Saccharomyces cerevisiae S288C: one gene and its partners. The protein of the gene in region 4 purifies or fractionates together with the protein of the main gene of each other region. This does not show direct contact. Each region holds a gene or a part of one and is shown on either strand. Other genes may lie near its edges.

Region 1 (3,504 bases), on a different chromosome or scaffold from region 4:
CTGCCGTTGAGACCGGCGAATTTTTGAAAGAAGTGTATGCCAATAATAAATTGGAAAGCCCATTAAATAATGCTCTTATGTTGGATAAGCTTTCTTCGGTGGAATAAAAGGCACATGTATCAACCTGACTTTCACTTTTACTTAACCCCAAGCTATGTCTCCATTGGCCAGGTACTCAAAAGAACAACCGGGTTTATGTGAGCGTTTCGAGGTTTTTGTATCTAAAAAGGAGATATGTAATGCGTAAACCCGAACTGAACAATTCGTTTGACCAAAAGGGGCTTTCCTACAAACAAGCAGGGCAATAGGAGCAAGGCAAATGGATCAAGGTGATGCTTATGCATAATTTATACGATGGAATCCTTTGTAATGCTCCGTACTACGGTTTACCACCAACCGGCTTTTGGGTTGTAATATTGACAGATTCACCATGTTCTCAATGGTTCTGTCACAATTCGAAAGTTCTATTACTCGCAAATTCGAAAGCAGATGTTTTAAGAGACGAGGTGAAGTAAAAAAGAAGAAAAATGATTGCCATACTCCTCAATGCTTGCATGTAATATAATATAATATAATTACTGTTTCATTTTCTTTTATATTATACAATGGATATTCTACATAACCGTAACCTATATCGTTTTTAATGATTGCAAGGAAAAGTTGATTTTGTAGATAATCTTATAATGTAGTGACTTATTTAATTGTTTGATTAGAGGTAGTAATATTGCAATCAAACTGATCTAGTGAGTTTCCCGCTCCTTTTTAATTCCAAAGCTTTCTTGTAGGGAGGGTTCGTCGGGCTTTGAACAGGATCTAAGGACGATGAAGTGCCTGCAACCGAAGAAGGTAGGTCATGATAAGTGGCATCTGAGTCGAAACTTTGAAGACTTCCACAAGCCATAAATTCGGCTATGTTTCTCTCCTCTTCATTCCAATGAGACAATTTGTCTGATATACACAATTTATTCAAAAAACAGCCTTGAAAAAATTCATCAACGGATGTATTTACATCTAATTTTGGTGTCCAATTGGATGGTGGGTTATAGCCTAAACAAACAATAAAAGCTTCCAGAGATGTACCTCTTGATGATCTTGGCTTTGCGCAAACGATTTTATCGAATAGATAGCCCAATTGGGAATATAGCATATCTATATCACGACCTCTGAAGATCTTTGCCACAAAAGTTCCACCTTTTTTCAGAATGCATGCAGTAAGTTGCAGCGCACTCATAATTAACTGTTGTTGCACGTATTCGTCAAGATCGTGTAACCCAGTAACATCAGGTGCACCATCACTACAAACAAAATCGGCCTTTTCGTTGCCAAACAGTTTTAGAATCCTCGCCAATGTTTTAGGATGAGTGATATCGGCTTGCAACGTTGTCACATGAGGTATGGGGGACATCGGTTGTAAATCGACAGAGACAATTTTCCTGTCCTCCTTATCTGAACTGGGACTTTCATCAAACAGTTTTCTCGAGAGCACTTGTGACCATGAACCTGGTGCTGCACACAAATCTACAACTCTTTTTAAGTTTGGATCATCCAGGAAATGAAATTGGTCATTGAGTTGAAGTAGTTTGAAAGCAGATCTAGCCCTATAGCCCTGCTCTTTTGCTTTTCTATAGTACAAATCTCTTTTATCTTTGCTGCTCTTACCCATCTTGAATACTTTCTTTTTAAGCTTGCCTTGTACTCATCTACTGTTGTTTTACAGTAATGTTAGGAGCATCGCTTGAAAATTTTCAACTCGCGATAATTATTGTTAGCGCAGAATAATAATACCTAGTAAAAAGTTTATCGTTGCTTTTACTTCATCATGATAATCAAAATACTTGTAGGTCTGTCTTCTGTGAAAGAAGACGTAGTTACCTATTCTACTTAGGTTTGGTGTCTTTATATAATATAAAAGAAAGATATTAACCGTACATACCCCAATCTTCTTCCAGTTCTGCTTCAGTTGTATCAATCTCATTAATGATTCGGTGGCCCATAACATTATCTCTGCATAATGGACATGTTGTACTTCGAGATAGCCAGACAGACAAACACTCTAAGTCGAACTTATGATGGCAATGAGGTAATTCAACTACTAAGGGGTACTCATCTTCTAAATAATTAGTGTAACAAATGGAGCAGTTGTCAGTTGCTTTGAGCTTTTTTTTATTGATTCGTGGTAAAGAGGCTGCAAAAGTATCAGGACAGCCCGCACTCTTGCCTTTATCCATTTCTTGCAACCATTCTTCCTGTAATGATTCTGGAAGCATTTGCGATAATAATCGTAAAAGTAGTGTTGAATCTGAATGTGCATCACCCTCACCACTGGTGTTACCAAAGTTTTGAAATAGACCTTGCAGTTGGGATCTGACCTGTCTTCTCTGCTCCTCCTGTGAAGTTCCTCCTACTTCTTGGTAATCCCTTGAGTTTTGTTGTATTCCATGTTCCTCTAATCTAATGATGAGTGCAGATTAAAATTCGGTTAGTTAATTGGCTTTGGGGAACTTACTTCATAATATATCATTACATACCTTCATATGTAGACATTTTTTTGATTGTGATTATGTTTGATGAATATATCTTTCTATTATTTCTTTAGTAGTTTAGGAGTGGCAAAACTGGTATTATAACGAACTGAGCGCTCCTCGGTGCAAACAAAAGCCGCCCACAACAATTTTGACCAACTTAGGCAAAATGAAGCCATTACTAGAAAACGAAGAGTATATATCATCACAGTAATTCGGGTAGGAGAGTTGGTCACCAAAATGGGACTCATATGGAAGGCAAAAATTTCGAGCTTATTCATCATGGTTGTACCCGTAAAGTTTTTGTTTCCGATATATAGAGTACAGATGTTTTCTAGTTAACAGTTGGCATATCTTACATTTTCCGGATTATGTATCAAATAAACTTTATCTATGAATAGTTAGAGTACCACAGTAGAATCGAAGTTGCGCCTTTATCATTAACTAACAATTTTTTTGTGGGAACCGAACTATTATGTCTCCTGGAACAAATCTTTTGACTTTTAACCCGGAGCAAATTGCGAATCCTTGTCAAATTTTGAACTTCATCATAGCGGATAAGATCCTTATGAATCACTTCATCTAATCGCTCTCGTTTTTCTCGGTATGCTCCAGTTATTTCAATTGGGATGTTGTTATCAAAGAAAACTGGTTTTTCCATGAACATAGTCAGGAAAAGTTCGTCACCAAATTGGCTTTTTATAATCAAAAACGATTTACAGATATCACGAATTTCTCTACTCACAGATTTAGTATTATCTCGAGCAGTGAAGCTTCTCATAATTGAAATATTTCCAGGCGCGTATTGTCTGCCATAATGGGAGAGAGATACATCGCATCCCATAGGAACTTTAACCATTGTTTCGTTAATACTTTTTTCAATACCTTTAAACGGCGTTTCATTCGCGCTATCAAGTAATGTATTATTTACCACTGCTTTAAACTCGGGATTCGAGCCAGGTGATCGCGTTAAGACCTCTGT
Region 2 (3,817 bases), on a different chromosome or scaffold from region 4:
ATAACATATCTCTACCAAACCCCCTAAATTTCATTAGGAGAATTTCAAAAGCTGACAATTACTGCATTGAAACAAGGAACATGGCCAAATTCATCATGGAATATTCGATTTGTTGTAATAAATTCATCCACCTGAAGCCATCATATTTAGCTGCAATGTCCATGTATATCGCCAGAAAAATTAAAAATGAAAATTCCAAATGGGATGAAACTTTTATTCATTATAGTGGCGGCATTGATATTGAATCAGATCCAGCGTTTAAGGATTTTATCAGTGAACTAGTTGAAGATATTGCTGTACCTGATACGAATCTAGATTCCTTGAGACTTAAATACAAAAAGCCTAAACATGGCATGGTTTATTTCAAGGTTTTTGACTGGTGTAAACAAAAACGTTGAAACATAGATCAAAATTATAGCCAGCTAACCCCCTGCATCTTAAATATCATCGATAGACATACTTCTTTATTTCTTTTATGTATTCAAAAAAAGAAAGAAAATGCATTATTCCTCACTTTAAAGATAATTTTCCAATTATGGGAGAAAAAATTTATAAATGAATTAATTATTACAGCCTACAAAACTGATACCGTGTGATAATATATATGAGATAACCGTTATATGAATAATGAATGCCTGATTTTTCTATAAAATAGATGATAAAGTAAGGAAGTGAGATTTTGGTTTTCTGTGTAGGCTAGCACCTTCACTCATGCAATGTCATAATATCATATCCATTTTTCCTTACCTTCAATGCCCATTCGATAGAAATTATGGAAGCCTTTAAAAATCTTCTCGATTGATATTTTTTCAAGAACTCGTCGTGAATAGTAGATCCAACAAGATAATCCATCAGTAATTGGCAAACGGGATATAGTTTTGCCTTTGTGTAACCACCACTATAATGGATTAAGTTGCCATCCCAGGTGCCCTTGCCCAGCATTTTTCTCGAAAGGAACATTGCCGCTGAGGCACATAATGACGGTAATATCCCGATGAACTTGAAGTCCACTATAGATATTTCCATTAGGAACTTCGCTAACGTCCTAGACTGGATATCATAGTCATCCGCTTTTGATATTCTCCTTAAGAAATTCATTGGGTTAGCGAAACTAATTTGAAAATCGAGTTTTTCCAATATAAATCTTTCACCCTCTTTAATATCTTCCACAGAGCATGCACCGTCTGTCTCGTACGCAAAATGTTTTATGCTAGGGGAGTATATTTCCTCATACTTAGATGCGATGAACAGGCATGATGTACCAACCAGTTGCAATCTATTTAACTGAACCACCTCTTCACAAAGAAATCTATCCATTATGTTTATGGCCAAATATAGAGTTTCCGGCAGAAGGCCAAACTTATTATGAATCTTGATTATCCAGTTCACCAAAATGTCTCTGTTTTGCTTAATATTTTTATGCTTATAGAGATTCGCCTTATTTGGCAATGTGATTATTTCCAAGTGATGCAAATAATCGAAGATATCATTAACCTCTTCGCTCACCATTAAGGGATCATCACAATCTTCTTCATCTAGGTCATCCCATTCGTACTCCTCCAGAACCTCTTCTTCTGTAGTCAATTCATGGAGTTTGAACTTTTTCTGGTCATCCTGCTCTACAAGAGTTGATATTGGCCTTTTTTTTTTGGAATCTTCTCTCATTATTTTTTTCTGCCATTCCATTTGAGTGGAAATAGACTTGTTCTCAGAGTATATCAACCGATTACAGCTCAAGGCAGTCGAATTCGTATGAAAAGAGTCATCATTTGAGCACTGCTGCTTTTCTTGCTCGGAATATCCATATTCAGGAATATTTTCCTTATTGTTTAGTACTTCTTGTTTCACCCCCTGTCTACTGTCATTAAAAGAGGAGGTGAAGTCATCGGCTCTCGAAACATCATCCTTTAAAGGAAAGAAGTTGTTCAATTTTGAGAAGTTCTTCATCCCAATTTTTCTGTTCATAGAAATCTCTTGCAGGATATTTGCATTATTTGTGACATTACCGAGAATGGTCCTTGGGACGTTTCTCTTTTGTAAGATATATTGACTTTCGTTTACCCCCTTCTCTTCATTACTATTAATGGTTCTACTATTCTCTACCAAAAGGGATCGTGACATTATGAGAAGATTAAAGCTTCCTTTGATGGTTGATATAACGGACGAAAATATTTTGGCTCTGTTCTTGTTGGTAGATCTTATTCTTAATTACGCTTTTGTGATCTAAACAGCTGCACCAGTTAGCAACTTTAATAGTTTTAAGAAACTATACCAAGAGCCACAAGTAAAACTGTCGCTGGAAAAACCGAAGACACTAAAATTGCAGCCTGCTCAAGTTTGGCCGAATGTAAAAAACACAATACAACCAAAATTGCCTAGAATAGATCACCCTAGTATCTTCTTCTTACACAGAAGTGCAATAACTTCTATTACTTAATATATATAACTACACGCCGTATTCATAAAAGAAGGATCAAACCCGTTTCTGCAGAGGAAGACGAATGAGGAAATCACAAACAAAACAAATTGGGCAGACCGTATGCGGAACGCAAATTGAAGTAATATGTTATGTACGTTCCGCACCTAACTTGCAGGATACCCATAAATGATGCTGTAAAAATGCAAGTTGAAAATGATTAATTAATACAACAAATTTAAAGTTACCGTTGACGTGAGTTTTATGGTGCTTCTATATTTTGTGTCCGCTTCTTGATTGTTGATGTTTTTCCTCTTTGGGCGGTTGTAAACAAAAGGTCGTGCCCGTTTTGTGAGAGCCCCTACTCGAAAACGGTAGTGAAAAACCGCCCAAATGATGCATCTAGTAAAGAAAACTAATTGAAGCGCGTCTGTGTGTGCCTGCTTCAAGAATGACACTGGGCATGCATAGCCTCGTTGAAAAGTCCACTTGCAATACGACGAAAGAGGAGCCAGTAGCACATAATTAATCGGAGGGAATCTCGATCGTGTCCTATTCAAATTTGGAAGAAACGCCTTTTTTAACAGAGCGGGCGGACTTTCAATAAAATTGGATGCAAAAAAAAAAAATGACTGAGTACAAGCGAAGCTTACTAAATAATTGGATAACACCATGAATGATATTATGGAGCAATTCGATAGTTCAAAAATTGACAAAGACAATGCTTTTACGCATCAATAAAAAATGCCGTAACTGTTGCAGTTTTCAGCGTTAGTTTCAATTTTAAGATTATTTTTACTATGAATAGAAGATAAATATTTTCATTTCCCCCCCAGTTGTTGTCATTATGAACATATAAAACATTCATTTACTCTTGTTTATTATCATTCATAGATCAAGAATATATGGTAAATAACGCAAGAAGCTCTTGGAACAATCGTAATGATAAAATAGAAAAGAACAATTGCGCTGTAAATTCTTACGTCCAAAACAATTGTAGTTTAATGCGGGTGAAAATACGTTAACATTAGGCTTGTTTCCAACGAGAACTGTGGCAAGGAAATGTAAACATTAGCATTGCAAAGTCTCTTGCCGAACCTATAGATTACCGATTGAACTTGGCTTGCTACGTATTTTCGAAGTAGTGGATATTTTCATCTTGATTGATTTCTGCTAAAATAACAATCAGTTATCTTCCGCATATTACTCATGCAACAAACTGAAGCTATTATTTACCTTACATCGAATTTTCAAGAAGCGATGATAAAAAATGGTGTGAAATTATATGACCTGAAGACCAGAATTAAACAATCATTGAACCTGACAGAAGCTGATGCACGAAAGTTGATACTTTAAAAAGTATTCTGCGTAAGAAAACCAAACTTAAATATTGCCTTCAAA
Region 3 (4,016 bases), on a different chromosome or scaffold from region 4:
TACATATTCTGGGTTCATCAAATTCAGGAATTTTGAAGATGCTACGAGAATATTTAACTTTTTGAATAACCGTTTAGTAGGAGGAAGCATCGTCACGACATCTTGGGAAAGACAAAATAATGCACCTAAATATCATGATGGTTATGGAATGCGCAATATACACACCTCTTCTCATCCACAAATTACCCCATATTACCAGTACTCACATGCGAATAGTTTGAACTCCCCACACATGAGAGATCTTTCGTCAATGAATAGCAGCACAAGATCACTAATAAAGAATAAAAATTTCAATAAGAAAGTTTTGGAAACATTCGAAAAGCAAGTAAGAAGAGGTATAGATTTCATGAGATTTCCAAGTGCCACTAGAGACGAAAATGTGCACGGAATAGCTGAGTATATATTCGACACTTATTGGAATCGCGATGTGTTAATATTGGACAAATTTTTATCGTTGCTAAATAGTAGTCCATATCATGAAGGTGTATTGCAAAAACAAATTGAAGAGGCTGCAAGCTCGTTAGGATTTAAAAGATGAATGTCTCTTTGTTAATTTAGCTAGAGTTTTCCTTATTTATTTTTTTTATTTACACTAATTCAATCTTTTTCGTTATATTTAGATATTATTAAAAATTATTATTATGGAAAAAATTCTTAAAAGGATAGACAGAGGGACGCCGTCTGCTATATGATATGTATTTAGGTCCGAGTGCTGATAAACTGTAAGGCAAAAGGTATAAGTGTAAATCAATAACGTTTCTCGTATTCTTTACTCTCCTTCAAATTTTTTAAACTAGTTCAACGTAATTTGCTGGGAATATACCTTCTCTACCGTTGACTCTTCCGGTCCACCAGTCATTTTGAGAATCTGATTTTTTCAAAATTGTGATCACGTCACCCTTTCTGAATGGTAAATCTCCGGACTCTTCTCCTGCAAAGCTATATAATGCCACGGCCTTTGGAGAAGACGTGGATGGGGATGTTGGAGCAGTGAATCTGCCCTGACTAGTTTGCGGTGTTGAAGCGGACGAGATTCTAGATTTAGAAAATCTGTTCGACAAGTCATCGACTTCACGGTCTTTTGTCCTATCTCTTCCATTCCCGCGTCTATACCCGGATTCATAATCATCATCATAATCATCGTATTCATCATCAGCCCAACGATTTCTTGAAGAACGAGCCCTTGACTGAGCAGTTCCTGATCTTCTGTGGCTGGCATAATAACTTGAAGCTCCAGATGGGTCATCCAATTTACCACCACTACCGCCACTGTTGGTAGGAGCCAGTCTTGAATTCCTTGAATAGCCAGTACCATAATCATCATCGTCATCATCATCGTCGAACGTATAACGAGAACCGCTTTGGGCTCTTCTCCTTGTGGATCTTGTGTTAGGTCTAGTGGAGGAAGCATCTGTAGAACTGAATGAACTAGGAATGTCATTATAGTAATCGTCGTCGTCATAGTAATCGTCTTCGTCGTCATCGAAACTGCCACGACCACCGTTGGAGGGTCTGTAATTAAACGCCCTGGACTCTAAAACACGAAACAATGGATCAACTGCTGGAGGCGGTCTTATCCTACCAGACAAAATCATTTTCGCGGTACAATTGTCACCATAAAATTTTCTGTTAGCCTCTCTTCTTTCTATAATAGCCGAACCTTCCACAGAAACCCCTGCAAATAGACCTTTACTCTTAGAATAGGCAAAAACTGCAGCCACACCACCGGCGGAGGCTGATGCAGCTGCTTCTGCACTTCTACCAAGAGGCCCAGCAGAAACGGAGACGTTACCACCCAACGTGATGGTCCCAAATTCAGAAAACGACTTAACAGCATCCTGAGTATTTAAAATGAAAACAAAATCAGTCAATTCTATACCAACCATCCCACCGGCACCAGCACCTGCCATGGCAATGGCAGATGGAGCTGACCAAGTACCATCCTTTAATCTTGCGACAATCACACCAGAACCAGCTCTACCTGAAAATAGAAAACCTGCTTTTAAGATCGTTATGATAGCCAACCCTTTAGCTCTTTTCAAAACGTCTGGAGGAATGACTTGGTCCGCACCAAAAACTTGGTTTGGTTTGACAAAACTAGCCAAAATCTTCGCTGCTTTTCTTTATTAATTGTTTATTACTAGTTAGTAAATGATGAACAAATTAAGGGAGAACTTTTTTAAAGGTTTCCCAGCCAAACCCGTATAAAACATACTTTGTCTCACTCTTTAAACTCCTTGGAATAGGATTGTTAATACCCATTGCGTGTGATACAGCTTTTGTTTTTGATTTCTTTGCCACCCGTGATCCAAAGCCGTTCTAGATTTCTTCGATAGTTTATACTCTTTCATGTTGAACTTCCAGATGCGGCCGAGTCGGCGAGCAAACAGGGTGCTGCTACTAAACGAACAATAAAGAAAGACAATTTGGGCACCCAATATAAAATGAGCAGTCAATTCAATCAATTCAGTGTGAAATTTTTTTCTTGGAAAGATCATTCACTTCTACACAGCTGTACATGAGTTTATATGACAGTTTTTTTTTATGTACATCCAGTTCAAGATAATCAGATTATATATTGGCCCAAAAGGGATCATTAACGAATTGCGAAATGGGTAATCTCTTTACAGTTAACAGATTCTCTGGTGATTGGCTTTCCTCAAGGTAGCAAATATACTCTAATTGTAGCACGTCTACTATGTATTTCTTTACCTTGTCATAGCACACACCCACTTGCGCCACGCCGTGTGCGTCATCACTTAGAACAAATCTGGATCCACAGTGCTTCTTGACCAGATTACATAAGGTTTTGCTGGGGTACGGCTCCTCGAGGCGCTTTCTTAATGCGGACGTATTGATTTCAATTGCGCCGCCATAGGAGTCTATAAATTGTAAATTTCTTACAACTGCATCGTATATTTCTGGCCATTCACTGATGACGTCCAGTGAAGCTACAGGAACTCCGGTTTCTTCGTTGCAGTTGCCCGATTTCTGGTTTACTAGCATGTCATTGGGCAAAAATAATTTGTAAAGGTCGAAGTGACCCACGACCAACGGTTTAATATTGATCAGCATTTCGTACTGTGATTGGAAGTAAGACAGGAGAAAATGTTTCAAATTATCATTGAAGGAATGCAATGAATTGTACCATTGTTGTTGGTCGAAATCAATAGGGATCCCGTTGACGTGATGGACCGAACCCACACAAAACTTCAAAATATCATTATTCTCCTTCATGAGTCGCTTTGCATATTCGATATGAGCCATGTCACAACTTTCGATCTCCATTCCTATAATGAATTTAGTCCGCACATCGGGTCTATCAGCATAACGAGTCTTGATTTCTTGCGCATGACTCATGAAATTCTTGAACGATGTTTCTAGCTTGGTTATGACTTCCTCAGGATTCTTGCCCAATGACTGCTCTTCGGGGTATATAAACTTGGCCTCAATTCTTGGTATGTGCTCTGTCAAACAGTACGTGTGAAAGTTGAGGTTGACCACTTGATCGACCACGGAATCCAAAGGGTCCGTACCGTGGGCACTATAGTCACCGGAGTGTGAATGGTGTGAGTGCATGACCTCGAGGATTTTTACTGAATTGTACGTATCAAGAAGTACTAAAATGTGTTTGAAAGGGAAAGATTGTACGGGAAATGGAAAATGTACATATAATATCCAGTATCATTTGAGTTGATAGAGATTATCTCTATAGATAGAGAGATTTGACAAAAAAAATAAAAAAATTTAAATGGACGAGTCCGGAATCGAACCGGAGACCTCTCCCATGCTAAGGGAGCGCGCTACCGACTACGCCACACGCCCGAACGTTTGTTGAAATCTTCCAAACAGAAATGATACAGGTTTACTTTACAGCAAGACATTAGTAGTTTCATTAGCTTATCAACATGTATGAAACCGGCAAGATTGAAAGCTTGATTGCCCTTGACGAGCTACTCAAATGTGTAAATATCTGCACAATCAGTTTACACTCATGTTTCCGCGCTTTTACCCTC
Region 4 (6,727 bases):
ACAATAGCAGAATATCTCTATCAAGAACATCCTCTTCGATGTCCGTCGGTAATAATAAGAAGCATTTCCAAAACCAGGTAGATTTCGTTTGCGTTTCCGGTTCGACATCACCTATTATTGAACCATTATTTAAATTAGTGAAGCAAGAGGTTGAAAAGAACAATCTAAAATTTGGTTACACCATTCTTTACGGTAGCTCAAGATCCACTTATGCCAAGGAACATATCAATGGTGTCAATGAACTTTTTACCATCCTTCATGACTTGACAGCCGCCTAAGCGATCATTTTCCCTCCTGTACTTTCAAAATGTTCTCTTTCTTATTCTTCAGTTATAGTTTTTACGAGCGATTATAAATATAAAAGTACGATCTTCCTTTTACGTATATATGTATATACAGCACGATAAATTACAAACAAGTTTCAACTAACAATGTGGGTTATTTCTCATATTGTTAATGAGATCTTATAATAATCATTATACACGAACGCTATTTTTCACTTTTTTTTCATTTTTGTTTTCGCCGCAAGAAGTAATAGTGAAAAATTGAAAAAAGCTTCAATTTTAGTTTGCTGAAAGAAACCTTTACTTATGTAGAAGGTGTACTTGCAAAAGCACTAGTGTAATATAGAGCAAAGTTCATCATGGGTAAGAAAAACACTAAAGGTGGTAAAAAAGGTAGAAGAGGTAAGAACGACTCTGACGGTCCAAAGCGTGAACTTATTTATAAGGAAGAAGGCCAAGAATATGCTCAAATCACCAAGATGTTGGGTAATGGAAGAGTCGAAGCCAGTTGCTTTGATGGTAATAAGAGAATGGCCCATATTAGAGGTAAGTTAAGAAAGAAAGTCTGGATGGGACAAGGTGATATTATTCTTGTTTCCTTAAGAGATTTCCAAGATGACCAATGTGATGTTGTCCACAAATATAATTTAGATGAAGCCAGAACACTGAAAAACCAAGGTGAACTTCCTGAAAACGCCAAAATTAATGAAACAGACAACTTTGGTTTCGAATCTGATGAAGACGTTAACTTTGAATTTGGTAACGCTGATGAAGATGATGAGGAAGGTGAAGATGAAGAACTTGATATTGATGACATTTAATTTAGGCCGAACAAGTGTCCTCAATATCTTCTAATGCGTCAACTATTCATAATTTATTTATAATTATATTTTTTAGTCCATCATAGGAAAGGGTTTTCTTTTTACTATATCGAAATACTTATATATAGATATCAAAAAAAGAATAAAAATGAAATACCTCAAGAAGTCGTTTAATCTTCCTTCTAGGGTTTCTTTCAAGCGGACGTTAAGGAGACGTAATAAAAATTTTCTCGCACGAGAAATTTGAGCAAAGAGCACGTTGCGAATACGTTTTATCCATTCATCGTTTTTAATTTATTACCTTTTCTTTCGATGCTGTTTATTGTCACTCATGAGTGCTTCCGTTTTTTCCATCGAAAATTTACTTTTTTAGACTGAAAAGAAAATGAAAAGTTAAAATAAATTTTTACCAGAAAATGCTCATCGCAGGAAAATGACAATACTATTGTGAGCTTCCCGAGGTACACATTACTTCATACTGAAAGTTTCAAAAAATGACTACGGATGTGCAATTTTCAAGTCAGGAAATCGAGCTTTTCCGTGTCAAAGAATTCTTGATTGCTAATAATCCAGCAAAGATCAACAATGAAAATAAGGATGCTGTTTTAACTCAGATTGAGCATGATTTCAGGTATTTAATACAGTATATCAAGGACGGATTACCGAACTTAAATGAGTCCACAAGGTTAATTTTTCCAGATACCTTTTCGATCTGTTTACTAAGGAGCCATCAAATAATTGCAAGCAAAAAAATTGACTCTCAAGAATTTTTATCGGCGGTAAAAGAGCAACTCTTAACTGAAGCGAATGCAAATATTATCTTTGAATATGTTCTTGACTTTTGGGCTGATGGTGGAGCCCCACTGATGAATGCCTTGAGAGATTTATTCAGTAAACTACTGAACTTATTGAAAATCACATATCCTATGTCAACCTTGAAGGATGTTTTATTTAATTGGATGAATGAAATATTAGAAGTACCATCTACGTTGCGTGTTCAGTATTACTTGATTGATGCCCTTTCTTCTGATTTTGACCTTTATTATATTATAGAAAAAAAGCCTCATTTCATCGATAACTCTTTTTCATTAATGAACTCTGATTTGCTAGCAAATTCGGTAGGTAAATGCATTGTTAGTTTGCTGTTAAACATTTACGAAAAGCATTTCAAAAAGAACGAGTCTTTTGTACAAGAATGGATACAATTATGGAAAAGTTGTGCTTTAAAGTACATTCACGACAAACAATACACCAAATCCATTAATCTGTATATTATGATTCCATTATTCAAAAATATGCCAAACTCGGCCTTCACACTTTTCCTAGAATGTATGTCTAACAAAGACCCATCACTTTTGCTCTCACTTTTAAAGATTGGCCAAGAATTGGGGATTGAAGAAGAACCATTTTGTGATAATAAATATACCACTGTAGATTCTGTTAACAAACTCATAGAGCAAGATGAGTATAAACTTCAGGTATTTGAAATACTGACCTTTTCGACAAAAAAGTCAAAGCCTATTCGTCCCTTCGTCTTCAAAACTATAAAACAGTACCTATATGTGTTCTTCGTGGACACTGAACTTGAACGCAGAAATTACTTTTGCAGTTCGATGAAACACTTTATATTTAGAACCAGAGACTGCGCATACTCTTTAGCTAGGGATGCCAGAAAGCTTAAAAAGGCTGAGAAATTTCCGGACGAACAGAGGGAAAAGTTGGCGCAAGTTGAGGAGGCTAGAGCCTTTTTGGTTTGGCTATGCAATTTTATAAAATATAATTTGGCCCCTGGTACTTTATATCAGGCGAACGTGACCTCATTAAAACTTATGCACATTCTGATCAAGTCTGGTGTTGATAAATCTACTCCACAAAAATTTTTAGACAACCAAAATAAGAGGGAATATCCTTTTTCTATCCCAATTTTACAGGATGTCACATTTTTAAGGTTGCTCATTGACCTTTTGGTTAGTAATTATGCTGACGTGCGCGAATTATCTAAAGAAATGCTATTTATAATGATAAGCGCTGATGAATCTAGAGGTCTTTTTTTGGATACCTTAGACGCAAATGCTTTGAAGTGGACTGCAACCTCTCTTTTAAGTGACTATGAGAAAGGTGATGCTGGAGCTACCGTATATGAGTTCATATTCACAGTCATGGGCTCTCAAAGAAGCTTCATTGACCAGACAATTGATATATTAGCGCAGATGGTACAAAATTTGCAAAATGACAGCATTGGTTGTGCAGAAAATTCAATCGGTCCTCACTTTGCTGCACTAAGCTTGATTTTGAATAAGTTTAACTCTGAAGAAAACCATCAAGATACTTCAAAAATAATCTCAAAATTAATAAATCTTGTACTCAAGAGCTGGGAAGCAACGAGAAATGTAGTGTGTCATGATTCTGCCCATGGAATACTACCTGAAAAATATGCTAATTGTGGTGTACCGGACCAAGTTATAATAAGTCACGCATTTAGGGCGATAAAAGAAGCATCATATTTACTTGAAACAATATTAAAAAAATACCCTTTAACAAGAGATCAATTAGACAGTATCGGCGATCTTTTTATTGTTCAGCTTTCTACTATTCGTCATAGTGGCGCCTTCCAAGCCGTTTTACCGGGGCTAAAGGCATTTTGTATTCGTTGTCAACTTGAATTTCCCGCTATTCTGGAAGAACTTTTAAGCAAGAGTGTAAAATCTTTAAAATCCAAAACTCAACATATTACAAGAAGGTCAGGAGGCTTGCCTTTCTTGGTCACAACCGTCTTAAGTGCAGAAGTTACCAAAGGGAGACCTTTGTTACAAAAAACTTTTGAAAACTTACTACTCGTTGCAAGGTTACCAATTCCTCCCCATCAAGATGAGTTTGATTTACCACAGGTTAATGCTATTAATTGTATAAACGCAATCTTTGTTGAACCGAAGCTCTCTGTACACTGTACGTCATTTGTCTCAGAGGCATTAGAACTAGCTTTATTGAATTTCGACTGTGATATATGGGCTCTAAGAAACTGTTCTATCATGCTGTTTACCTCCTTGCAAAATAGAATTTTTGGAAAAGTGGGCAGAAGCGTTAGTGCAAAATTATTCTTTACCAAATATTCTGGCTTGAGGCAACTGCTTTTGAATATTCTAAACAGTTCTATTGCTCAATATTCGGGAAGTGAAAGAAAATCATATCAAATTGAAAGCATTTTCTTGGTCCTTAATGTGCTACTGAGGTTACGGCCTACAGCTGGCTATACTGGTCTAAAAGAATTCAACGTTTCTGTTTATGAATGTTTATCAAATGAGAACTGGAAGATCAGAGATATGGCCTCTAGAGTATTGCATATGCTGTCGGAAAATTTTGAAGAAGAGATAAGAAAATTACTTGACTTGGCTTCTATCGCGAAGCAAAACCAGTTACATGGACACTTACTAGCACTCCAACAACTAGTACCACAATACCTTTCAGGAACTAGAGATATGGAGTTGATTCAAAGGATACTTGAAAAGAAAAGGATGCTTCTACTAGAGAACAAGTGCTTTATCACTAAAAAGGCCTACTTAAAATTGACCTGCTGTATATTGGAAACATGCGACATACCTGATTCTATTTTAAAAGATTATATCAGCACTTTGCGGAACACATTTATTGCTGAAAATAACGAATATGTTGTGGATGGTAGCAAACAGCTATATCTTGCACAAATCTTAGACATGCTCTTAAAATATGAGGATAGTATATATCTCGATGATATTTGCTTATTAGGATTGTATTCTCCATTTTATGAGGCTCAGCTCAGTACACTACAGTACATGAATACTAACTTTCACTGGGAAACTACAAGAAACTCAGAATTTCTTGAACAACTACAATTATTACTCAGGGTTCCAGATTTGCTGCCTATGGCTAAAGCTTTAGTAGTGAAAATTCTCTCAAGAAAAAAGAATACTTTATCCCTGACGACCTGCACTGATCTCCTAAAAACAAATAATAGTGAAGATACAAAACTTGCTGCCGTTTCATCACTAAGTGCTAAATTGTCTTCGCAAACCTTTCACCAGGTATGGAACTTGTTACAAGGATTTTTCGCCGATTCTTGTTCAAAAGATTTTAGATTGGCATCTTTAGAATGTTTAACTGCTTATCCAGAAAGTTGTAAGAACTCCAGAATACTATTACAACTGTACAACTTCTTATGGGACGATGATTCTGAAATAAGAGAAAAGGCTTCTTTTTATTTGAATAAGAACTTTATTCAAACTGCAGACTGGGAATATAACAGGAACACCAGTGTGACCGCTCTTATATTCACAAAAAAGTTTGTTGACGTATTCACAAGTTCTGAGGTGGTAGAAGAGTTGTGTTTACAGTTGTTTCAATATCTAAATGAATATGATATGTTTGCTGCCGAAGAATCGGCGAAGAATTGTCTATTTACTATAGAAAAGGATAACCAGTTCATCAACGAACTACAAAAGGCAATGCATATATTAAATATGATAAAATTGACTGGAAGGGATATCTCAAAGTGTTACAAAGACCAGATACATCACCTAAAAAGTGCTCTATTGGAGCACTTCAACACCGAGGATTTTAAAGATTCCCCACTCGGCTGGTGCTCTAATGCTGAAATATTTTCAAGAATAACGCTTTTAAAGGAACTGATTCAACATTATTCTCCTTCTGATTATGAGAATTTTATCAATGTTCTGACTAAACATTCTGTTCATCCCCTAATTATCAGTTATTCCCAATTATAAATAATGAATATGTACAGATATATACTTTGCATATAATCTGATTCATCTCTAACCTACTTGTGGATTTAGTGACGAGATTCATTGTGGAACCTATTACAAAGCATGTCGATTTCTATTCTAAATACAATGATGGAACTTGATTTAATTTCTTTACCGTTGTCATTTTCTTTTGAATTTTTTCCACCTCTTTTTTTGTTGAAAAATGTTCATGGATGGAAAATTAAAGGTGTGCCCTATTACAAAAGCAAGTTGTACCCCTTTACTAACTCTCTAGTCAATTTGAACTATTGTGAAAACGACAGTTGTGCTCACATGATATAACAAAAGTAATACTGACAAATGGCATTCCAAGATCAAGATATATTCATAGTGTTCTCGCATGCCTCCTTATTTCTTAATCAAAATGATTTATTAAGCCTAAGTCTAACATCCAAAAAAATGCATGACATGATTGCAATCCCTCGTCTTTATAGCAATATTCACATAACTAAGAATCCTGTTTTAAGAACAAACAAATGGTTTTTGGACGGGGGAAAAACTTATGTAAGTGGTTATAGATCTGTTCTGAAAACCGGTGACAAGAATGACATATTTTTATATGATAGAATTGAAAGGTTGTTGGAGACATCGCATTTAAAATGTATAAAACAGCTGACTATTGACGAGGATTTGTTTCACAACAGGGAAGAAGGATTGCAACTGTTACAAAGATTGGTCAATGAAATCACTGACTTGGACGTGATTGAAAGTCTTGACATCAAGGATCCTACCTTGTTTGAGTTATGTTCAGCAAAGTATTATCGCCTGTCAAGTTTAAAGAAGAGAGTAGTATATGGCGAAACTGGATTTGATGGTATCAAATTAT

Evidence for each region.
Region 1: the proteins of TRM732 (region 4) and TRM7 purify together in Saccharomyces cerevisiae (affinity purification with western blotting; 5 studies listed by BioGRID, with this or other methods). This does not show direct contact.
Region 2: the proteins of TRM732 (region 4) and CLB1 purify together in Saccharomyces cerevisiae (affinity purification with mass spectrometry, with the first as the bait; one large-scale study listed by BioGRID). This does not show direct contact.
Region 3: the proteins of TRM732 (region 4) and LSB3 purify together in Saccharomyces cerevisiae (affinity purification with mass spectrometry, with the first as the bait; one large-scale study listed by BioGRID). This does not show direct contact.

What each region holds. Positions count from the first base shown.
Region 1 is NC_001134.8:364,057-367,560, forward strand, and holds TRM7 (tRNA methyltransferase TRM7), read right to left. Parts: upstream 1,664-3,504; coding exon 731-1,663; downstream 1-730. Other genes in the region: YBR062C (uncharacterized protein), read right to left, coding at 1,920-2,446, 2,529-2,544; CNM1 (Cnm1p), read right to left, coding at 2,914-3,504.
Region 2 is NC_001139.9:701,940-705,756, reverse strand, and holds CLB1 (B-type cyclin CLB1), read right to left. Parts: upstream 2,122-3,817; coding exon 706-2,121; downstream 1-705. Other genes in the region: B-type cyclin CLB6, read left to right, coding at 1-398. UniProt on the Saccharomyces cerevisiae protein: Essential for the control of the cell cycle at the G2/M (mitosis) transition. Interacts with the CDC2 protein kinase to form MPF. G2/M cyclins accumulate steadily during G2 and are abruptly destroyed at mitosis.
Region 3 is NC_001138.5:201,172-205,187, forward strand, and holds LSB3 (Lsb3p), read right to left. Parts: upstream 2,263-4,016; coding exon 2,216-2,262; intron 2,122-2,215; coding exon 789-2,121; downstream 1-788. Other genes in the region: PES4 (Pes4p), read left to right, coding at 1-538; HIS2 (histidinol-phosphatase), read right to left, coding at 2,572-3,579.
Region 4 is NC_001145.3:783,756-790,482, reverse strand, and holds TRM732 (tRNA methylation protein TRM732), read left to right. Parts: upstream 1-1,599; coding exon 1,600-5,862; downstream 5,863-6,727. Other genes in the region: TPS3 (trehalose 6-phosphate synthase/phosphatase complex subunit), read left to right, coding at 1-278; TIF11 (translation initiation complex factor eIF1A), read left to right, coding at 644-1,105; ROY1 (Roy1p), read left to right, coding at 6,202-6,727. UniProt on the Saccharomyces cerevisiae protein: Together with methyltransferase TRM7, methylates the 2'-O-ribose of nucleotides at position 32 of the anticodon loop of substrate tRNAs.